Macaca mulatta: one gene and its partner. The main gene of each other region encodes a partner of the protein of the gene in region 2 in a complex. Links are inferred from orthologs where the notes say so. Each region holds a gene or a part of one and is shown on either strand. Other genes may lie near its edges.

Region 1 (10,762 bases), on a different chromosome or scaffold from region 2:
CAAGAGCCAAGAGTTGGAAACAACCCAGCGTCCATCAATGGACGAGTGGATAAACAAAATATGGGACTACGTAGAGTGGGATATTGCTGAGCCTGAAAAAGGAAGAGAGTTCTGATACCTGGTACCGTGTGAATGAACCTTAAAGGCATCAGCAGCCGAGGGAAATGAACCAGTCACAAAAAGATCAATACTCCGTGATTCCACTGATCTGAGGTACCTAGAGGAGTCAAACTCCCAGAGACAGAAAGTGGAAGGGTGGCTGTGGGAAGGAGAGGACGTGGAGTAAGTGCTTGTGAGTTTCAGCTTGGGATGACGAAGCGTTCTGGAGATGCACGGTGGTCAGAGTTGCACAATGTGAGTGTATTTAATGCTACTGAACTCTACACGTAAACGTGATTAAGATGGTAATTTTACATTATGTATATTTTACCACAGTTCTTAAAAAATCGCACTTAAGTCTGGATCTTGATGAACTAGTTGCTGGTCCTGCCTCTGCTGCCTTCTTTGCCTCAGGGAAGATGATGGATGTAAAAAAGCCGAGAAAGCCTGGGCAACATGGCGAAACCCTGTCTCTAAAAAAAAAAAAAAAAAAAAATACAGAAATTAACCAGGTGTGGTGGCGTGTGCCTGTGGTCCCAGCTACTCGGGAGGCTGAGACGGGAGGATCACTTGAACCCAGGAGGTCAAGGCTGCAGTGAGCTGAGATCCCTCCACTGCATTCCAGCCTGGATGGTGAGTAAGCCTCTGTCTCAAAAATAATAATAATAAAATAAATAGATAAACAAAAAATGCTGAGAAATTGCAAGTGTGACAGGACATCAAGTTGTGCTGGGTGTCAAAGTCACGCAATTCCAGGAGATGAGGTGGGCGGATCACCCGAGGTCCGGAGTTCGAGACCAGCCTGGCCAACATGGCGAAACCCCGTCTCTACTAAAAGTAAAAACATTAGCCTGGCGTGGTGGCAGGTGCCTGTAATCCCAGCTGCTCAGGAGGCTGAGGCAGGAGAATCAATTGAATCGGGGAGGCGGAGTTTGCAGTGAGCTGAGATTGTGCCACTGCACTCCAGCCTGGGCGACAGAGCGAGACTCCATCAAAAAAAAAGAGAAGAAAGAAAGAGAGAGAGAGAGGGAAGGAAGGAAGGAAGGAAGGAAGGAAGGAAGGAAGGAAGGAAGGAAGGAAGGAAGGAAGGAAAGAAGGAAAGAAGGAAGGAAGGAAGGAGGGAGGGTAGGAGGGAGGGAGGGAAGGAAGGAAAGGAAAGGAAAGGAGGAAGGAAGGAAGGAAGGAAGGAAGGAAGGAAAGAAAGAAAGAAAGAAAGGAAGGAAGGAAGGAAGGAAAGAAAGAGAAAGAAAGAAAGACAGAAAGAAAGAAAAGAAAGAAAGACAGACAGACAGACAGACAGACAGACAGACAGACAGAAAGAAAGAAAGAAAGAAAGAAAGAAAGAAAGAAAGAAAGAAAGAGAGAGTCAGTCACGCAGTTCCAAGCAAGGAGTGAGAAGCCATGGGCTTCTGAGGCCAACCATAGGCTTCAGGGCAGATGGCACTGTTGTTCTGTGGTTGGGCTGTGGGTGGCCTTCAGAGCAGGACCTGCACGGACCCTGAAGTGAGGCCTTCAGTCCCTGCCAAAGCCGACCATTTTCCCCTCTGGACATCCTTCTGGCAAGCAGCATTTGGCAGGTGGGGAGTAAGACGTTTTCCCTCATTGGTTTGGTTGACTCTATTTTGCTTTGCTCCATTGCCTCTTTCTGGGGCAGATGCCAGGATGTGTGGCTCTCTGGCAGACAGCCTCCAACCCTTTGGTTTGCATTGCAGTTCTGGCTGTGCTGAAGTATATCTTAAAAGAGTTAAAAGCCTGGGAAGCCGAATGTATTCTGTTTGGTGGATATTCCATTCAGATGTCTTTTGGGGGCACCAACCCATAGGCACCCATGAGGAAGTAGAAAACGCATGCCAAGGCCCTGGGCACGGTGGCTCACACCTGTAATCCCACCACTCTGGGAGGCCGAGGTGGGTAGATCACCTGAGGTCAGGAGTTTGAGACCATCCTGGCCAACATGGTGAAACCCCGTCTCTACCAAAAATACAAAAATTAGCTGGGTGTGGTGTCAGGCACCTGTAATCCCAGCTACTTGGGAGGCTAAGGCAGGAGCATGGCTTGAACCTGGGAGGTGGAGGTTGCGGTGAGCTGAGATCGCACCACTGCACTCCAGCCTGGGTGACAGAGCAAGACTCCATCGAAAAGAAAAGAGAAGAGAAGAGAAGAGAAGAGAAGAGAAGGGAGAAGAGAGAGAAAATAGAGAAGAGAAAAGAGAAGAGAAAAAAGAGAACTGAAAAGAAAAGAAAAGAAAAAAGGCACGCCAGTCTGATTCTGCTAAAAGTAAAAAGAGTAATAAAACAATAATATGGGAGCCAGGCATAGTGGCTCACACCTGTAATCCCAGCTACTCCAGAGACTGAAGCAGGAGGACTGCTGGAGCCCAGAAGTTTGAGGCCAGCCTGGGCAGTGTAGCAAGACTCCAATCTGTTAGAAAAAAAAAAAAAAAAAGCAGGCTGGGTGTGGTGGCCTCATGCCTGTAATGTCAGCACTTTGGGAGGCCAAGGCTAGTGGATTGCTTGAGCTGAGGAGTTAGAGACCAGCCTGGGCAACATATTGAAACCCCGTCTCAACAAAAAATGAAAAAAATTAGCTGGGTGTGGTGGCGCACGCCTGCAGTCCCCACTACTTGAGAGGCTGAGGTAGGAGGATCACTTGAGCCTAGGAACTCGAGGCTACAGTGAGCTGTGATTGTGCCACTGTACTCCAGCCTGGGCACTGTACTCCAGAGTGAGACCCTGTCTCAAAAAAGAAAAAACCCGATAATATCAACCTCCAGAATGGTTATCAATGGGAGGAAGTTATCTCTCTTCCTTCTTACTCATAAATTGTGGCCTCAGCTCCCTGGCTGGCCGGGACTGTCATCTTCTGATTCTCCTTTACCTCGAGCAAGTTTATTTCCTGGCTGGATCTTTGCATCTTTGAGTGAGTCTCCTCTGACACCCCTCCTAGCCCAGCCCCCCACCCCCGAGGTACCGCAGGCAAATTGAAAGAATGAACTTCCCCTCAGCTTTCAGATGGGACTAGTAAGGGGTTGATATGTGGGCTGATGTTTGTACAGTTTTTCTCCAGAACAAGGGTAAACACACGTTTTTATACAGGGTCAGATAGTAAATATTTTCAGCATTGCAGGACAGAAGATCTCTGTTGAAACTACTCAATGGTGACGAAAGCAGCCACAGAATGGGTGTGGCTGGGTTCTAATCTAACTTTATTTACAGACATTGAGATGTGAATTTCGTATCATCTTCATATGTCATGAGAGATTCTTCTTCTTTTTATCTTTAAATTATTTTATTTTTATTTTTTGTAGAGATGGAGTCTTGCTATGTTGCCCAGTGTGGTCTCAAACTCCTGGACTCAAACAGTCCTCTTGCCTCAGCCTTCCAAAGTACTGAGATTATAGGTGTGAGCCACGATGCCCAGTTCCTTGATTGTTTTGGGTTTTTTTTTTTTAATGTTTTGAGATGGAGTCTCACTCTGTTGCCCAGGCTGGAGTGCAATGGCGTAATCTTGGCTCACTGCAACCTCCGCCCCCCCGGGTTCAAGCGATTCTCCTGCCTCAGCCTGCTGAGTAGCTGGGATTACAGGTGCACACCACCACGCCTGGCTAATTTTTTGTGTTTTTAATAGAGATGGGGTTTCATCATCTTGGCCAGGCTGGTCTTGAACTCCTGACCTCGTGATCCACCCACCTTGGCCTCCCAAAGTGTTGGGATTTACAGGTGTGAGCCACTGAGCCTGGCTTTTTTTTTTTTTTTAATTTAATGTTTTGAACAATTTAAAACTGTAAAAACTACCTTTTACTTGTGGGCCATACAGCAAGAGGGGGCAGGCCAGGTGTGGCCAACAGGCCACAGTTTGCCAAACCTTGCCCTAGGAGCATGAACTCCAGTGGGTTCTCCAGGGTGCAAGGCAAAGATCCCATCTGCCAATCATGTCTGAACTCCACTTCGGAAGCTTGGGCAAGTACTGTGGGGCTCTGGAAGGCAGAAGTGTGCAAATCATGGCTTTTCATGTGGCCCTAAGCATCTAACTGCTAAGCCCTGCTTCCTGATGTTCTTCACAACAGAAATCCAGCATCAGAAATCAGACACTGGCTGGCTGCTTTAGCGCTGCGTTGGCACCAGGTGCGTTGCATGCCAGGCTCTAGAAATAACCCCTCCTATTTTTAACACCCTTGCTTCATCAGAAGGTTTCTAGTTTCTCCCGAAAACAATCTCAGGGCCTAGAGAAACCCTGTCTGAGTTGGAATTCAGAGCCTCTAAGCCACGTGTGTTGCCCTCTTGTCCCCACAAAAGTCCTCAACGTACCCGGGTGACCTGCCTTCCCTTCTCATTCCGCGTCAGGGGGCCCCTGATGTGACCAGGAATCTGAGCAATTTCTATGCAAGGTGTGAAGAAAACGTGAGTTTTCTGAGAGCTTTTTATTTCAAGCCACAGACAGATTCTACTCAGTTAAAAATGCTTCCCAGGGCTCCTGGAAGCCAAGGAGGGGACGCTGCGCTCACCAGAGAGGGTGTGTTTTATCACTGAGAAAGGGAGGGGCTGGCTATTTACACAGAACACCAAGAACTGGCAAACACAGGTTGTCCCTGCAATGTTCATAAAGGACAACCGGAGGCAGCTTATCAGAGGCTGGTACAGTGGGGACACCTCTGAGCTCCAGGGGAAGTGGGGCCCTTGCAAACACCTGTCCACCTGCTGGCCCTGCCTTTCCCAACTGTGGCCAGATTGAGACTGACATCCTCTTGCTCTATTCCCAGGGGAGCCTGCGGCAGCCCAGAGGAGCTCAGAGAGAGGAAGCAGCCTGCGACTGTGGCAGGGGGCAGATGGGAGCAGGGTGGAGCTAAAATTGCTCCCGCCTCCCCTCTGGAAGGTTCCGGGCTGAGACATGGCTTCCTGGAGAAGAAGCCTGAGGGTCGCTAGGGCCACAGGAGGGCTAGTGCTCAGGCTCAGCATCCATGCAGGACTCCCATGGGTTCCGGGGCATTCGAGGCAGGGAGAACAGCAGGAGGGCGAGACCACTGAGGAAGAGGAGGACGAAGGCAGCACAGGCGCAGGCGAAGGACCAGGAGTAATAGTACTCGATCCAGACGGTGTCCTCACTGTCAATCATGCGCTTCACCGACTGCCGCATGACCTCTACCGAGACCAGGATGCAGAGACCTGGGGGCGGAGCCAGGTACGCTCAGGGACCGACGGGTGCCTGCCGTTACCCCCAGCCCCACCCCAGCCTGTGTGCATGGAGGAGGCAGTGACCTTGCCTTGGGGGAAAAGCTGCCTCAAGGCAGGTTCTAGCTGGGAGCCTGCAGAAGGATCCATTTGTCCACGCACCACCCTATTCCTGCATCCCTTAGAAGGACGACCACATGGCCGGGTACGGTGGCTCATGCCTGTAATCCCAGCACTTTGGGAGGCTGAGGCAGGAGGATCGCTTGAGGCCAGGAGTTTGAGACTAGCCTGGGCAACATAGTGATGAGCCCTCTGTCTCTACAAAAAATTAAAATGTAATAAAAACTTAGCCAGGTGTGGTGGTGCACGTCTGTAGTCCCAGGTACTCAGGAGGCTGAGGCGGGAGGAACCCTTCAACTCAGGAGTTCGAGGCTGCAGTGAGCTGTGATCGTTCCACTGCACTCCAGCCTGGGCGACAGAGCGAGACCCTCTTCCTCATCCCCCAAGAAAAAGAAAGAAAGGCGACCACGTTTCTTTCCTTCTTCTGTTAATCATTCTCTGGGCAGTTTCTTTGGGGCCTTGAGGGTTGAATCATGGGGAGGAATGGACAGACCGCCAAGCTCTGTCTCCCTCCAGCCCACCTGGGGTCGCTGAGGGCTTGGCCAGGTTTGCCCCTGGATGGGGATGGAGCCTGGGAAATGCCCCCTACCCAAATCCCACGGTGGGCATGAGAGTGGAGCGGAGAATCCCCCACGACATGGTCCCCCCAGTCCGGTGCTCGGGCGGAGCCCCCAGTCTACCTGCAAAAGCGTAGAACATGGACGCGGGCCGCAGCAGGTAGTCCCTCTTCTTCCCAAAGGACAGGAGGACACAGAGGCTGCCCAGGATGACGAAGCCAAGGCTGAAGATGGCGATGGCGGCTGCCGAGATGCTGTACTCTGCAAACACAAGGGACACCCGGCATGCGGCCTCAGTCCAGGAGCTCTCATGGTGGCTGGTTAGGGACCACCCCATGCACCACAATTCCCATCTCACACACGAGAAAGCCGACAGCCCCAGGGGCCAAGTCCTTCCCTAAGGCCCACGCAGAGCCAGGCTGCCATGGGGCTTCTTCTACCCATGTCTTCCCAGAGCATCAGGCTGCAAGGTCCCCACCGGGGGCAGAGGCGAGAGGCAAGTGGCTGGAGGCCTTTCCAGAGCAGAAACTTTCCTCGAGTGACAGGGCAGGAGGCACTGGGGTGGCGGGTGGTCTGCCTGGGGTTAAGGAGCAAAGGACCACAGGGTGGCTTGTCACGCAGCCCGGTGCACGTGAGGCTCTGCCAGTGTGTGTGGCAGTGTGCGTGTCTGTGTGTGGTTAGTGTGTGTGTTCATGTATGTGTCACATATGTGAGGATCTGTCAGAATGTGTTTAGTGTCTGCGTATGGTAGTGTGTGCATGTGTATCTGGGTCTGTCAGTGTGTTGGTGTGTCACTGTGTGTATGTGTGTCTGCATGTGCTGGTGTGTACATGTATCTGTGCATGTTAGTGTCTGTGTCATTGCCTGTGTGTCACTGTGTCTTGTGTCATTGTGTCTCGTGTGTCATTGTGTGTCACTGCATGTCATGTGCATGTCAATGTACATGTGTGTCAGTGTGTCTCTGTCTTGTGTGTGTGTCATTGTGTGTATGTCATGGTACATGTGTCAGTGTGTGTCTCTGTGTGTGTCTTGTGTCATTGTGTTGTGTCATTGTGTCAGTATGTGTTTCTGTGTGTCTTGTGTGGGTGTCATTGTGTGGGTGTCATTGTACGTGTGTGTGTCTCTGTGTGTCTGTCTTGTGTGTCATTGTGTCAGTCTTGTGTGTGTCACTGTGTCTTGTGTGTGTCATTGTGTGTCACTGCATGTCGTGTGCATGTCATTGTACATGTGTGTCAGTGTGTCTCTGTGTGTCTTGTGTGTGTCATTGTGTGTATGTCATGGTACGTGTGTCAGTGTGTGTCTCTGTGTGTATCTTGTGTCATTGTGTCAGTATGTGTTTCTGTGTGTCTTGTGTGGGTCTCATTGTGTGGGTGTCATTGTACATGTGTGTGTGTCTGTGTCTATGTGTCTTGTGTGTCATTGTGTGTGTCATTGTCTTGTGTGTGTCACTGTGTCTTGTGTGTGTCATTGTGTGTCATTGTGTGGTGTGTGCGTCATTGTGTGTCATTGTGTGGTGTCATGTGTGTCATTGTGTCATTTTGTGTGTCATTGTGTGTAATTGTGTGTGTCATTGTATATGTGTCTCAGTGTGTGTTTCTGTGTGTGCCTGTGTCTTGTGTGTGTAACTGTGTGTGTAATTGTGTCAGTATGTCATGTGTGTCATTTTGTGTGTTATTGTACATGTGTGTCAGTGTGTCTCTGTGTGTGTGCCTTGTGTGTCATTGTCTTGTGTATCATCGTGTGTGTCATTGTGTGTGTCATTGCCTTGTGTCATTGTATGTCTGTGTGTCATTGCCTGTGTGTCACTGTGTGTGTGTCATTGTACATGTGTCAGTGTGTGTGTCTGTGTGTCTGTGTCTTGTGTGTGTCATTGTATGTGTGTATCTGTGTTGTGTGTGTCTGTGTGTGTCACTGTGTGTGTGTCATTGTACGTGTGTCAGTGTGTGTGTGTCTGTGTCTTGTGTGTGTCATTGTATGTGTGTATCTGTGTTGTGTGTGTCAGTGTGTGTCAGTGTCTCTGTGTCTTGTGTGTGTCATTGTATGTGTGTATCTGTGTTGCGTGTGTCTGTGTGTCAGTGTGTGTCTGTGTGTCTGTGTCTTGTGTGTGTCATTGTATGTGTGTATCTGTGTTGCGTGTGTCTGTGTGTCAGTGTGTGTCTGTGTGTCTGTGTCTTGTGTGTGTCATTGTATGTGTGTATCTGTGTTGCGTGTGTCTGTCAGTGTGTGTCTGTGTCTTGTGTGTGTCATTGTATGTGTGTATCTGTGTTGTGTGTCTGTGTGTGTCAGTGTGTGTCTGTGTGTCTGTGTCTTGTGTGTGTCATTGTATGTGTGTATCTGTGTTGTGTGTCTGTGTGTGTCAGTGTGCGTCTGTGTGTGTACCCACTCACCCTGTGTGCAGCTGTCTAGGCGCGGGCAGGCACAGGTGTGTGTCCCGACAGTGGGTGTGCGTCTGAGCTCTGTGGGTCCTGAAAAGCTCCAGAGCCCACTGCGCCCTCTCGGTACTTGGGGAGGGATTTCTAGGCCAGGGAGGGACTCAGACTGTCCCTGAAGACTCTAACCATCACATCCCACCAAGAGCCACCACAGGGCCTCCGAGCACTTGTTCCACATCCACAGCTCCCATCACAACAGCTGCCCTTGGGTAGGAGCTTGCCAGGAAGTGCTGCTTCTGCAAACGCTCCCTGGCCCCGAGGTGTGGAAGCTCTGGGCCCTGGAGATGGAAGGCGGCTACCTGGGGCCTCCGGAGCAGAGAGGTGACAAGGCTGTTGTTCAAATGCACCATGGGCTTCTTCTCATCAGGCCTGAGGAAGTCAGTGCTTTTGCCCCCAATGGCTTTCTGGCCCAGTGATGCATGACACAGAAGTCCCCTCTTGTCACCCCAGCCCCCTTTCCACCCAGGCTCACCCTTCTGAGTAGTGAATTCGAAGATCTCTGAGCTCTCGCCGGGGTTAAAATGCCTGAAGTAGGAACAGTTCTTCTCTGCAAAGGAGGAGACACACTGTGAGTTGAGGGGAGGGACCTGTAGCAAGGACAGAGGCCTGGCAGAGAGTGCGGTGTCATTCTGCTGGGCACGCAGGGGCTCTGGCAGGCTCTCTTCTCCCCAGATCCTTAATCTGGGCTGAAACGTCTGTCTTTGACCCTTAGAACAACATCTCAGTGGAATAATGAGGTTGCCTGGAAGGCTGAGAGGTCTTCAGGGAGCTGAGGCTGGATGAGTCCACAGGGCAGATGGCCCATGGGTTCTGCACCCCATTAGGCAGACGGGGTAACCGAGGCCCAGGCTTAAGCCATTTTTCAGGGTGTGCAGGGTGCACAATCACTAAAGAACCAAACAGCAGTCTCCGTGAGGACCGATTCTGCCCCCCCAGGGGACACTGGGCAATGCCTGGGGACATGGTGGTGGTGAGAGGGGTACACCTGGCACCTAGCCGGTAGAGGCCACAGACGCTGCTGAGCATCCTGCAACACGCAGGACAGGCCCTCCCAACATGGAATGATCCAGGCCAAAATGTCAAGAGTGCCAAGGTTGAGAAACCCTGGACCAACCCCAAATCTGGGACTGTTTCTCATCAGAATCCAGGCCCACCCTGGTTCACTGGTGGGACCTGGGAAGCAGTGTTTTTCAAAAGCTTTCTGGGAGATCCTGATGTGCAGCCGGGATGGGAACCCTGCTCCAGGCTCCTTAAAATGCCCCGCAAAGGGCTTTTTCCGAGTGGCCATTGGGATGGCCTGGACGCAGATGGAACCCCTACGAGGGCTGAATGTGACCATCATGTGGTTTCACTGGGTCGCTGGTCTCTGTGAGACAGCCCAGATGAGACCTGCCCCACAAAGCCGCTTGGCCCACCTGATAATTGTCATAAAAGCTATGGAAAGTCTGTGGGTAGTAGGAACACGAATCTGAATTTGATGAGGGAGAGGGGAGGGGTTCAGCACAAGGAAATTCATGCTGATTTAAAATATAATTTCACTTCCATTTTTCTCCTTCAGTCTCTCTCTCATAGCTAGGTATACTATAAAATCAAAGGACAGGCTGGGCGCAGTGACTCACGCCTGTAATCTCAGCACTTCAGGAGGCTGAGGCAGGAGAGTTGCTTCAACCTGGGAGGCAGAGGTTGCAGTGAGCTGAGGTCGTGTCACTGCACTCCAGCCTGGGTGATGGAGTGGGACTCCGTTTCAAAAAAAAAAAAAAAAAAAGCACAGTCTGCACAGTCTTATCTCTTCCTAAATCCAGTTTATCTTCTTTGCTCTTGATTTAGGAAGTGGATGAATGGGTTATTTTATATTATGTTTCCTTCAAAAACTAAATTAGTTTGCTTTTTATTTGTGGAGGCCCTTCATTGATTTCTTTTCCTGTGGGTCAATGACCCTCAAATAGAAAGGCATCTCTTCCTCTAGTTTAGATGGTGTCTAGTTTGTCAATTCATTTGTTCACTTCCAGGCTTCATTTAGATGCTCACAAGGCGGTTGATGGCTAGTTCTTTCTGGAAACGTACCTGCAGTGATACCAAGGCTTTTTTTGGGGGGATGAAGGCCTTCTTTAATCGGACCTAAATCATCTTCTTGCTCCTTAAGCCTGTGGTCTCGTACTATTCCCCTCCTTGCCCCAAAAGTCGGGGCTGCTGCCTCTCCTGAGGCTGAGGAAGGAAATGACCCTGGAGATGGGATGTGGTTTAGCAGCAGTACCCGTTCCTGGCATAAACAGCTTTCTCTGTGCGCTTCTATATTTAAATCACTTTCCTTTTGAACCACATTACCTGGGGTGTCTGACTGCTGGTGGTGATGTCAGAATTGGTGCTCTGCTATTCTCTCTCGGCG
Region 2 (12,092 bases):
AGCCAGGCATGGTGGTGTGCACCTGTAGTTCCAGCTACTTGGGAGCGGAGGTGGGAAGATCGCTTGAGCCCTGGAGGCAGAGGTGCAGTGAGCCGAGATCATGCCACTGCACTCCAGCCTGGGCAACAGAGCGAGACTCTGTCTCAAAAAAAATTAAGAAGTTAAATACGTTAATCACTTTGATCATCTACAGCAATGTAGAGTAAATACTTTGACATACTTTTTTTTCCAGCCAGAAAAAACATTTCCCCATATTGTTTGTAACTCCAAAAGGGCATGCTTACTTCTGATTCCTTTTAATGTCTGTAGGGTTAACATAGTGATTCAGTGCATATGTAAATTCACAAAACTGGATAGGACTGGGGAAAGCATGAAATGCAATATGTATTATTTAGCATTTATCACCTACTTACCAGACGATGGAGGTGTTGATTTTCTGGAACTAGGTACTATGTCACCCAAACTGGATGATGAATTTCCTCCTGATTTACTGGAGTAAAGCAAAAATTTCTATTAAATCTGATACTTATTTCAGATCCTCAAACGTTTGTGTTACTCAATAAACATGATAATTCATTGTGTTTTTATTCAACTTTAAATTTATCTTTCATTTAAGGAAGAAAACAGTATTTCCCAGTGGAGATTCCTGGAGTACTTGAAATAGGCACATGATGGTCTCTGATTTCAAATTGAAGGTTTAATTTTAAAAGGCCCTGAGAGAATGGAAGAGAACCAGTGTAATTTCTGCAGCCCTCAAATTATCTGCCCAGATCACAGATAGCGAAACAGCACAGATTTATTTTGCTTTTTATTTTAGAGACCCTCAGAGGTGATGCATAGAACCTTAAGGCTAACACCCAAGATTAATATTTCCTTCTTGTTTGGTTGCAGCTCCTCTGTTTTAGGCTTATTTTATTAATAGTATACTAAGATTGAAAGCACGCAAGCTTTTATGAGCAACCTATCAAAGAACAACAGAGCCACATGAAAACTTGCCAACCACTAAAAGACACACGAAGAGACACGACTAAACAGAATTGATATGATGCAGTCATCAGATAGTGCCCAGAATATTTCTCAAGCATGACTCACATGGAGAATGAAACTTGGTTAATTTAGGAATAATCTGAACATCATACATTTCAGAACTACCAAATTCGAAAGTTTGATGTAAGATAAACTTCAGTGTCTCAGAAACATTGGAGTTAATATTAGAACAACAGCATTTGTGTTTTTCACCAGCATACTGGCATGCTAAATAACATGTTACTGAATGACCCCTCTCTCAGATGAAGATGAGAAGAACATTTTAAATTTGGGCAAAATGATCTCACTGCCTAATGTTTATTATTATGGCCAAGCCAGGGTCTAGTTGAAAGAATTTGCTACAGCGTTTATGCATCAAAGGGCAATATTTGCTTATGTAAATATTAATATGAAAATAAAAGTTTTATTAAAGTATCAGTAACAGGCTGAATGTTATTGCTACTGTTCTAGCATTTTTATGCATAAACATCAAAAACTATTAGGCAATTAGCAAGAGGGCTCTATATCTGTTTAAGGTTAAGAGATACTCAAATACATTTAGTAAGGGCATCAGACAGTATGTGAAATTAATGACAAGTGATATTTATAAAAGCAGTTTCTGGCAGTTATACAAGGACCTATTACCAAGACCAAAACATTTTTTTCCCCCTAAAGTATTAAGTCTAATTTCAGTTCAAGTTCATGGGTTTTATATTTCCTTTGAATTTTAGTAACAGCCAAATATTATTTGAGTTATATAAAATTGTGACAAATACTGCAAACGGTGACCATGGCTAGGATGCAGATTTGTCCTTGACTTTTAATTCTATTAAAATGCCAAGTTCTTGAATTGTACCCCAATTCCATTTCCATTGAGTTCTGTCAATTTTTATAATTTCTGTATCAGAGTTTTTAAAGACTGCCAGATTCTGGTTATGTCCTCAAAACAAAACTGCATTTAAAATGTTAAGAGGCCGGCACAGTGGCTCACGCCTGTAATCCCAACACTCTGGGAGGCCAAGGTGGGTGGATCACCTGAGGTCGGGAGTTTGAGACCAGCCTGGCCAACACAGTGAAACCCTGTATCTACTAAAAATACAAAAATGAGCTGGGCGTGGTGGCGCGTGCCTGGAGTCCCAGCTACAGAGAGAGAGGCAGGAGAGAGACTGAGGCAGGAGAATCACTTGAACCCGGGAGTGGAGGTTGCAGTGAGCCCAGATTGTGCCACTACACTCAAGCCTGGGCACAGAGCGAGACAAGGGAAAAAAAAAAAAAAAAAAAAAAGAAGAGAAATGTAAAAACCTGTGAAAGCAAGTAAAAGTATTTTCATATACTTAGGCAAAATCTTGAGACAAAATAAAATGAAGAAAATCAAAGAAAAAGATATATGGCTGTAAGAAAAGGTAACCTAGTTCTCTGGAGTAAGTTCTGAGGTGTTACATTTCCCCAAATACGGATAACTCAGAATCCTAAGGAAAAAAATGCAAGAGCAAAACAACATATCTAATAAAGTAAATAGTAACAGATGGCAATAACCATTTGTCCTGGGCTTGCTGTGCCTGGCAAGACCTGGCTCCTTAATTTGCAGTACAGCATGGAGGTCTGTACAGCATGGAGGTCAGGTTGCCATCTTGGTTCTGACGCTTACTAGCTCTGCGACCTTGGTCAAGTTCTCTAACTTCTCTTAACCTGTTTTCTCATCTGTGACCTGTAAGATCTAATACCCACTGCTCCCACAGGTCCTTATAAAGAGGAGTGGAGCACTAATGTTAGCCTAGGGAAGCCCATTTGGGAGACACAGGAGACTACATTTCTCTGACAATTTTGGGAAAAATTTCTACTCCCTTTGAAGTTGTTCTTATTTCTTAGTTTCTGTATGAAGAGGCAGAAAAAGACACAAGCCTGCCTCTGCAAAAATCCATCCCAAATTTTCCAAAATGCATTCTACAAAACACTCTTCCTAAGACATCAACCAGAGTTTTGATGAGAAAGTAATTTTAGTAAATACTTAAAAAAATTCCCATTCCACCAGAGATTCACGGTGTCCATGATCACATTAAAAGGCTCTGAAAAATCCTAAAGTAACTTTCTATTACCTAGAACTATCCTAAATTTATTTTATCTTGGAACCCCTTTCTCAAGTGATTTGACAAGAAAATTCTGAAAAATGCTGAATTGTCCTAACTAAAAACAAAACATCCCCCAGCTGGGATAACTTCAAACCTCAACAAACTATATACTACCTAGTTGATAAGAGCAATGTCTACACCCTATTACAACAACATTTTTCCATATAAGGTGGCTTTTGTTTGTTTGTTTTTTCAGACGGAGTTTCACTGTCGCCCAGGTTGGAACATGATCTCGGCTCACTGCAACCTCCGCCTTCCAAGTTCAAGTGATTTTCATACCTCAGGCTCCTGAGTAGCTGGGATTACAGGTATGCACCACCACGCCCAGCTACTTTTGTATTTTTAGTAGAGACGGGGTTTCACCATGTTGGCCAGGCTGATCTCAAACTCCTGGCCTCAAGTGATCCACCTGCTTTGGCCTCCCAAAGTGCTGGGATTACAGGCATGAGCCACCGCGCCTGGCCATAAGGTTTTGTTAACTAGTATTATGATACCATTTTCAATACAGAGGGTAGGAAAACACAAAATAAGGTCAATGGAACATTAAGAATTGAAAGAATACTATCAGGTCTTCGAACACCCTGCAGGCAAAATGCAGATACGTTATTTATCTACATGCCTCTACTTTTTTTCTCATTAAGAAATGCATTTTCAACAAAAATTTAATATTTAATATTGCATATAAAATATGCATTATATATATGTTGGCCTAATGAATAATTTACTGCTGCTAATGATAATAATGGTACATGTCCAGGTTTGTTACACAGGTAAATTGCATGTCTCAGGGATTTGGTGTACAAATTATTTTGTCACCCAGATAATGAACATAACACACCAGGAGGTGGTTTTTCTGATCCTCACCCTCCCCCGATCCTCCACCCTCAAGTAGTACCCAGTATCCAGTGTTCCCTTCCTGGTGTCCGTATGTTCTCAATGTTTAGTTCTCACTTACAAGTGAGAACATGCAGTATTTGTTTTTCTTTGTTTGTTTGTTTTTGTTTTTTTGAGATGGAGCCTCACTCTGTCGCCAGGCGGGAGTGCAGTGGCGCGATCTTGGCTCACTTCAACCTCCGCCTCCAGGGTTCAAGCGATTCTCCTGCCTCAACTTCTCAAGTAGCTGGGACTACAGGCACATGCCACCATGCCCAGCTAATTTTTGTATTTTTTTTTTTTTAAGTAGAGATGGGGTTTCACCATGTTGCCCAGGATGGTCTAAATTTCTTAACCTTGTGATTCGCCCGCCTCAGCCTCCCAAAGTGCTGGGATTACAGGTGTGAGCCACTGCGCCCGGTCCCCGTATTTGGTTTTCTATTCCTGTGTTAGTTCGCTTGGGATAATGGCCTCCAGCTCCATCCAGGTTGCTGCAAAGGACATGATCTTATTTTTTTTTTTTTTTTTTTTTGAGATGGAGTCTCACTCAGTCACCCAGGCTAGAGTGCAGTGGCACGATCTGGGCTCACTGCAACCTCTACCTCCCGGATTCAAGTAATTCTCCTGCGTAGCTGGGATTACAGGTGCCCAACACCACACCTGGCCAATTTTTGTATTTTTAGTAAAGATGGGGTTTCAACATGTTGGCCAGGGTGGTCTTGAACTCCTGACCTCAGGTGATCCGTCTGCCTCAGCTTCCCAAAGTTCTGGGATTACAGGCATGAGCCACTGCACCCAGCCAATCTTGTTCTTTTTTATGCACGCCTCTACTTTTATCTGACTGAATGCATCTCACCATCTGAGCACTCTCAATAACCCAGGAATTAATGAAAGTCAGTTCTGGGGTGGAGGTCTCAAAACACAGAGGAATCCATCTGAACTAAATGAACTTGACAATTATAAAAAGCCAGTTAATGAGGATGGGTATTCCAAACCACAAAGCATATTCTGTTTCACTCATCTGCTGATGCTTGAAAAAAATACTTGCTAACATTAAAGTATTATCACTGACAAAGGGATTTGCATCTTAGATAAACAAATAAGATGTAAGATGGCAAAAACAGAAATCCAGCGATTCACATTTAAGAAAGGCCTTGCCCATGTCCCATCCTTTCACATAGGGAGAGGCATGCTGCATCCCTAGACCCGTCTGCATATGATTCCATGTAAAATTCAGTATGTGTATGAGAAGGCTTTCTAGCGATTCTTTTAGAGAGGGGCAGACAACCTCACGAATCCTAGGAGGGATTATTCAGCCCCAGCTTCTTACATAACTCATCTAATTGCCATCTGCACAGGCAGTTTTAACTTGTTTCATACTTTGCTTCTCTTTAAGTGCTTAACAGTGGGTAGAACTGAAAATTGAGTTTCTCAGGTGAAAATGAAACTAACAGATGACAAGAGCTGCCATTTCCTGATGATGTCTGAGACTGTCATCTCCCAAACATCTCCTAGCCATACCAGGCAGCTACAGACAGTGGGATTAGTCACCAGGGCTATTCTGTGCCAGACTGTTTTTCAGTAAACGATTAAGGTTTCAGAATTTTCTCAGCACTGGAGCCTGGATTTAATACTCTGTGACCTTAGCTCTTTTCATTAATGATAATAATTTGATACTTCCCCAAATAGGATGAAAATCAGGTGGTGGATTGAAGTTTTTTAAATGCAGGAAAATGCAAGATTTGTGATGCTATCAATAAACCATATCACCAGCCTCCTTGTTAATACATAATAAAGGATATAGAATACAGCAGACAACAGTACACAGATAGTGGTATAATCTAAGTTTTATGCAAACACTTGACATCTGTCTCATACCTGGAGTAGAATTTCCCTTGCTTGGCTCTCTGTTCATGCTGCAGCCTCATATTTTCTAGTTTTACTGGGCTTGGAATGAATCCGATTTCACAGCCTTCTTTTACCAGTCTCCCTATCCACCAGTCATTGTTAAATTTCTAAACACAAAATCAAAAGCATTAAAAATCAGTGCACAGAAGGTCAAATCCTTGTTCTTCCACACTATTTTCAGTGGAGAGAAATATGGCAATGACAATGAACTATGCCTCAAATATTATCATTCAAGAAACCCTTTGGCTCATGGGTTTAACATGTAAGAAATGTTTTTAGTGTCCTCAGCAATCTGTCAAAGGCTCTTCGTTCCTTGTCTGTCCTGGTGCTGCCGTAGGACCAGGCTGAATTCCATTGCAGCAGCTGCTGTCACCTTGAGTAGGGATAAGCTCTCTGGGTTCAAAGAATAACAGCCCATCCTACCAAGAGATCTTTAGGAAGTAGTGTTACAGAAATATTCCCCTTATATAATCAGAAGTATTGAGAGAAAGAGATAAATATTGAAGTCTACCTTAAATATTTCATGTCACAGGACAATTTACCTTTGTGCAAACAGTTTTATAATTACACAGTGCGATGTTCACAGATGATTTCTCTACTTGTGTGATGTTGACAATTTATCTCTTGCAGGTGGAATATGTATCTTAAATCTTTATGATCTGCCTTCATTTTCCTTGATGGAATAAATCTGTCCTTGAACACCTCAAAGAAGAATATACATTCTGTTTTTCTCCTTTCCCCTTTCAGCACCAACCATCAAGAAGAGGCCCCGTAATAATCTAACTTCCCGGTGTTAAGTGAGATTCTAGGCACAGCATCACTTCTGATAACTTTTTCTATTGTTCCCACCAAGCCAGTATTTGACATCTCTTTTCAGAGGTTACCAAAATGGTAGGCTCTAAATTCTCTAGGTTGTTTTATTTTTAATCGAGATAGGGTCTTGCTCTGTCGCCCAGGCTGGAATACATTGACATGATCCCAGCTCGCTTCCGTCTTGAACTCCCAGGCTCAATCAATCCACTGGCCTCAGCCTCCTGAGTAGCTGGGACTCCCAGTGTGTGCCACCATGCCCAGCTAATTTTTTTTTTTTTTGTAGAGATGGGGTTTTACCCTGTTGCCCAGGCTGGTCTCAAACTCCTGGGTTCAAGAGATCAGGCTTCCTTGACCTCTCAAAGCGCTTGGATTACAGGCATGAGCCATAGTATCCAGGCTTCTAGGTTCTTTTTTTTTTTTTTTTTTTTTTAGACTGAATCTCACTCTGTCGCCAGGCTGGGGTGCAGCGGCGCGATCTCGGCTCACTGCAACCTCCGACTCCCTGATTCAAGCTATTCTCCTACCTCAGCCTCCCGAGTAGCTGAGATTATAGGCATATACCACTACACCCAGCTAATTTTTGTATTTTTAGTGGAGACAGGGTTTCGCCATGTTGGCCAGGATGGTCTTGGTTTCCTGACCTTGTGATCCGCCCGCCTTGGCCTCCTAAAGTGCTGGGATTACAGGCATGAGCCACTGCGCCCGGCCCTAGGCTCTTTTAATTGGCAGTCATCAACTCCTTTGCTGACAGCCTTTAGTGCAGTGAAGAGATTAAATTTACACATGCTTCCTATAACATATTATACCCTACATGGAAGGGCTCCAAGTATAAATTCCTCCAGGTCCAAGAAAAATCTCAGGATCACACACTGAGAATATTCTACAGGGGAAATTTCTGGTCAGTTAACACAGTGCTCCACAAGGCAGGCATTTGATAAATGTTGACTCCAAGCAAAGCTTAATTAAGGATGAATGTTTCCAGTTTGCAGGTTGTATCATTGCTCACTAAAAGGTGGAGACATTTAGCATGTGGGAAAAGGACTTTTCCTGATACCTCTTTGTTGCCTTACTGGCATCAATGCTTACCATTCTCTCATCCACTGCAGAAATTTAGCATTTAAGGAGGAAAAAGGGCATCAGTAGTTTGAGTTTAGACACTGCCAGCAGAGAGGAGTCACGAATTCTAGATATTATTATTAAACCTTCCCCAGATGGCTAGACTTCAGGCATCAGAAAACTACACCTAGTCAAGGTGAAACATTAAAAGAAGAAGTACAGGGTAAGTATAAAAAAGGATCATCTACTCTAGCAGTTCCCAATTTCTGGGCCACAGAGCCCCAGGGAGCGCTGAAGTTATTGCAAGAGGCCCGTGACTTCTTTCCACTTTAAAAGGTATATTTATATTAGCAGAGGTTGAGAGCCATTGATTTAGTATGTATGTTATACAACTGCAGTGATGTGTGATGCTGCTTCACAGAAATGGCATCTGAATAGGAAATAAGAAATGGTATGTCAAGGTGAAACATCACGCTGATAGAAAATGAAATTATTCTCCTTACTTCCTTAACATGCAGAAAATCTTTTGCTTCGAATGAGATGGCCATGCCAGGCACTGGAACATCATCTTCATGGGCCGCACTGTAGCTGACATTTGTCCGAACCGCAAATGCCACGGGCTTTGTCTAAAGTGGGAACAGAAAGAGGGAAAAAAATAAGAACAAAACAACAGTGTCCCTCCTTCTTCCCCTCAAATACAAAGATACACTGAATAACTGCTGTAATCGATGTTGGTTTCCCCACTGCATTGGTTCTTTATCACAAAACAGTTTGTTCGTATTCACAACACGTGAAATCTCCTAGCTCTGAGCTACGTAGCACCCATTTCTGAACTAGAAAAAGCCATTGTTCTCTTTGAAAGCACTGCAAGTAAAGACGGCGAAGATGAGCCACAGAAATATGTGTTTTCAACATTGGCGCTTGTAGCAACTGTAAATCAGGAAACACAAACGTGAATAAAATGCCCAGTTCTTCGGTTTCAGTGGAAAGGACTTAGTAACTGCCTCACTACCCCAAACATCTACTTTAATTAATTCATCATTAATGACATAATTCCGAAAGGTACAGTCTTTTGAATGAAAAAAGAACCGGGGAATATATGCTATAACTATAGCAGCTCTTACTCATGGCTGCAACGAATTATGAAAGCCATGACCTTTTCTTCTATTATTTCTCCTCCTTGAGTTCGTTCAACTACTAAAGATGATATTAATTAAGCTCTCTTTCCTTCTTTGATGCTTCGAAATTTTACAGATAAAGGGCCGGAAGTGGTGGCTCACTCCTGTAATCCCAGCATTTTGTGAGGCCAAGGCAAGAGGATTGCTTGAGCCTGGGAGTTCAAGATCAGCCTGGGAACACAGCAAGACCTCTTCTCACTAAAAATCAAAAACAAAAATTAGCTAGGTGTGGTGGCAGGCACCTATACGCCCAACAACTTGGGAGGCTAAGGCAAGAGGATCACTTCAGCCCAGGGGGTCTAGGCTGCAGTGAGCTGTGATCACGCGACTGCACTCCAGCCTGGGGGACAAAGTCAGTCCCTGTCTCAAAAAAAAGAAAAAAACAAATCAAACCAAAAGAATTTACAGATAAGCATTTATTCTCTCTTTAGCTAATATCTATTTATCCACAAGGTGGAAAAAACAGGTAAGCTCAGAAATGGTGAAAACTGTATTGTTCTAAGTGGTATTGTATTTCTTTCCCCATTATGGGCAAGTGGATTGCTTCTATATATTTCTTTCTTTCTTTTCTTTTCTTTTTTTTTTTTTTTTTTTGACAGAGTCTCACTGTGTAGCTCAGGCTGCAGTACAGTGGTGCAATCTCAGCTCACTGCAACCTCCTCCTCTGGAGTTCAATTGATTCTCCTGCTTCAGCCTCCCGAGTAGCTGGGATTATAGACGTGAGCTACCGCGCCCAGCTAATTTTTTGTATTTTTAGTAGAGACAGGGTTTCACTGTGTTGGCCAGGCTGGTCTAGAACTCCTGACCTTGGGTGATCTGCCTGCCTCGGCCTCCCAAAGTGCTGGGATTACAGGCATGAGCCACCATGCCCGGCCTCTTCTATATATTTCTTATATACACCATATATACAAAGTAACATAGTTTTTCATGTGATATTCCTTTTAACCTATTTTTTTTTTCTTTTTTTTTTTTTGTGGAGACAGAGTTTCGCTCTTGTTGCCCAGGCTGGAGTGCAATGGTACGATCTCGGCTCATTGCAACCTCCACCTCCTGCGTTCAAGTGATTCTCCTGCCTCAGCCTCCCAAGTTGCTGGGATTACAGGTGCCCGCCACCACGCCCAGCTAATTTTTTGTATTTTTAGTAGAGATGGGGTTTCACCATGTTGGTCAGGCTAGTCTTGAACTCCTGACCTCACGTAATCCGCCTGCCTCGGCCTCCCAAAGTGCTGGGATTACAGGCGTGAGCCACCACACCCGGCTTAACCTATTCTTTAAAAAAAATTATTTCAACCTCTCAGGAGGAGGGAGCAGTTTCTCCCTACTCAATGAGCTTTTTACCTGGACTTGCCAGAGAAGACAAGGAGCTGGAGTAGAGAGAACCCATGTTCATTTCCAAATTTTCCAAAGTTAATTTGTTCTACCTGACTGTTGTCTGGGTTGAAGACTGAGTTAAGGGCCCTAATGTTACTAAGGTCTAGTCACAATTTGCGGATTGGGAAAGGAGGACCAAATTCTGGATACAGGCACAATCGACATGAGGTGAATTTAAATATTTGGAAGCCAGTTCTTGACCTCCACTATAATTTTTTTTTTTTTTTTTTTTTTTTTTGAGACTGAGTCTCACTGCGGCGCCCAAGCGATCTCGGCTCACTGCAAACTCCGCCTCCGAGGTTCACACCATTCTCCTGCCTTAGCCTCGCGAGTAGCTGGGACTACAGGCGCCTGCCACCACATCTGGCTAATTTTTTGTATTTTTAGCAGAGACGGGGTTTCACCATGTTGGCCAGGATGGTCTCGATTTCCTGACCTTGTGATCAGCCTGCCTCGGCCTCCCAAAGTGCTGGGATTACAGGCGTGAGCCACTGTGCCTGGCTGACAGTATGATGTTTCTATTTTTTTCTAGAAATTTTCTTAAATATATGAAGTTTACTTCTAGAACTACAATCATAATATATTGCATTTCATCCAATATTAAACAAAAAAAATGAAAAAACAAAACATATATATTTTTTAAAAAGGCCAGGTGCTGTGGCTCATGCCTGTAAATCCCAATACTTTGGGAGGGCATGGTGGGAGCATCGCTTGGGCCCAGGAGTTTGAGACCAGCCTGGGCAACAAAGTGAGACCTTGTCTCTTACACACTTACACACACACACACACACACACACACACACACACACATACACACATACACACACACACACACACACACATACACACACACACACACACATATACACACACACATACACACACACACACACACACACACACACACACACACACAGTTTTTCAAGTGATATACTTTTAAAAATATATTTTGGCCGGGTGCGGTGGCTCATGCCTATAATCCCAGCACTTTATGGGAGGCCGAGGCAGGAGGATCACCTGAGGTCAGGAGTTCAAGACCAGCCTGAACAACATGGAGAAACCCCATGTCTACTAAAAATACAAAATTAGCCAGGCATGGTGGTGCATGTCTGTAATCCCAGCTACTCAGGAGGCTGATGCAGGAGAATCACTTGAACCTGGGAGGCGAAGGTAGCAGTGAGTCAAGATCGCACCACTGTACTCCAGCCTGGGCAATAAGAGGGAAACTCTGTCTCATAAATAAATAAAATAAAATAAAATAAAATAAAATATATTTTAAAACTACCTTGGCCAGGTGCAGTGGTTCACGCCTATAATCCCAGCACTTTGGGAGGCCAAGGCAGGCGGATCACATGAGGTCAGGAGTTTGAGGCCAGCCTGGCCAATATGGTGAAACCCAGTCTCTACAAAAATAGAAAAATTAGCTGGTCACAGTGGCTCATGCCTGTAATACCAGCTACTCGGGAGGCTGAGGCAGGAGAATCGCTTGAACCCAGGAGGCAGAGGCTACAGTGAACAAAGATCATTGCGCCACTGCACTCCTGCCTGGGTGACAGAGTGAGACTCCATCTCAAAAAAAAAAAAAAAAAAAAAAGATTACCTCAACCATTCACCCTTCTTTGATACTTAGATTCACGACATTATTCAGTATGAAAAATATTCTGCTTTGAAAAATCTTTGTACAAAAGCCTCTATTTAGAATTCTTTCCTTGGGATGGAGTCCCAGAGGTAGCATGTG

What was found.
Region 1: CACNB2 (region 2) and CACNG1 share a complex: the UniProt entries of both Homo sapiens proteins name them as parts of the calcium channel complex. The link is inferred for Macaca mulatta from reciprocal best matches to the Homo sapiens genes CACNB2 and CACNG1.

The regions. Positions count from the first base shown.
Region 1 is NC_133421.1:76,804,436-76,815,197, reverse strand, and holds the end of CACNG1 (voltage-dependent calcium channel gamma-1 subunit), read right to left. Parts: intron 8,924-10,762; coding exon 8,849-8,923; intron 6,206-8,848; coding exon 6,068-6,205; intron 5,262-6,067; coding exon 5,035-5,261; 3' UTR 4,505-5,034; downstream 1-4,504. UniProt on the Homo sapiens protein: Regulatory subunit of the voltage-gated calcium channel that gives rise to L-type calcium currents in skeletal muscle. Regulates channel inactivation kinetics.
Region 2 is NC_133414.1:20,062,019-20,074,110, reverse strand, and holds part of CACNB2 (voltage-dependent L-type calcium channel subunit beta-2), read right to left. Parts: intron 8,432-12,092; coding exon 8,309-8,431; intron 6,044-8,308; coding exon 5,907-6,043; intron 491-5,906; coding exon 414-490; intron 1-413. UniProt on the Homo sapiens protein: Beta subunit of voltage-dependent calcium channels which contributes to the function of the calcium channel by increasing peak calcium current. Plays a role in shifting voltage dependencies of activation and inactivation of the channel.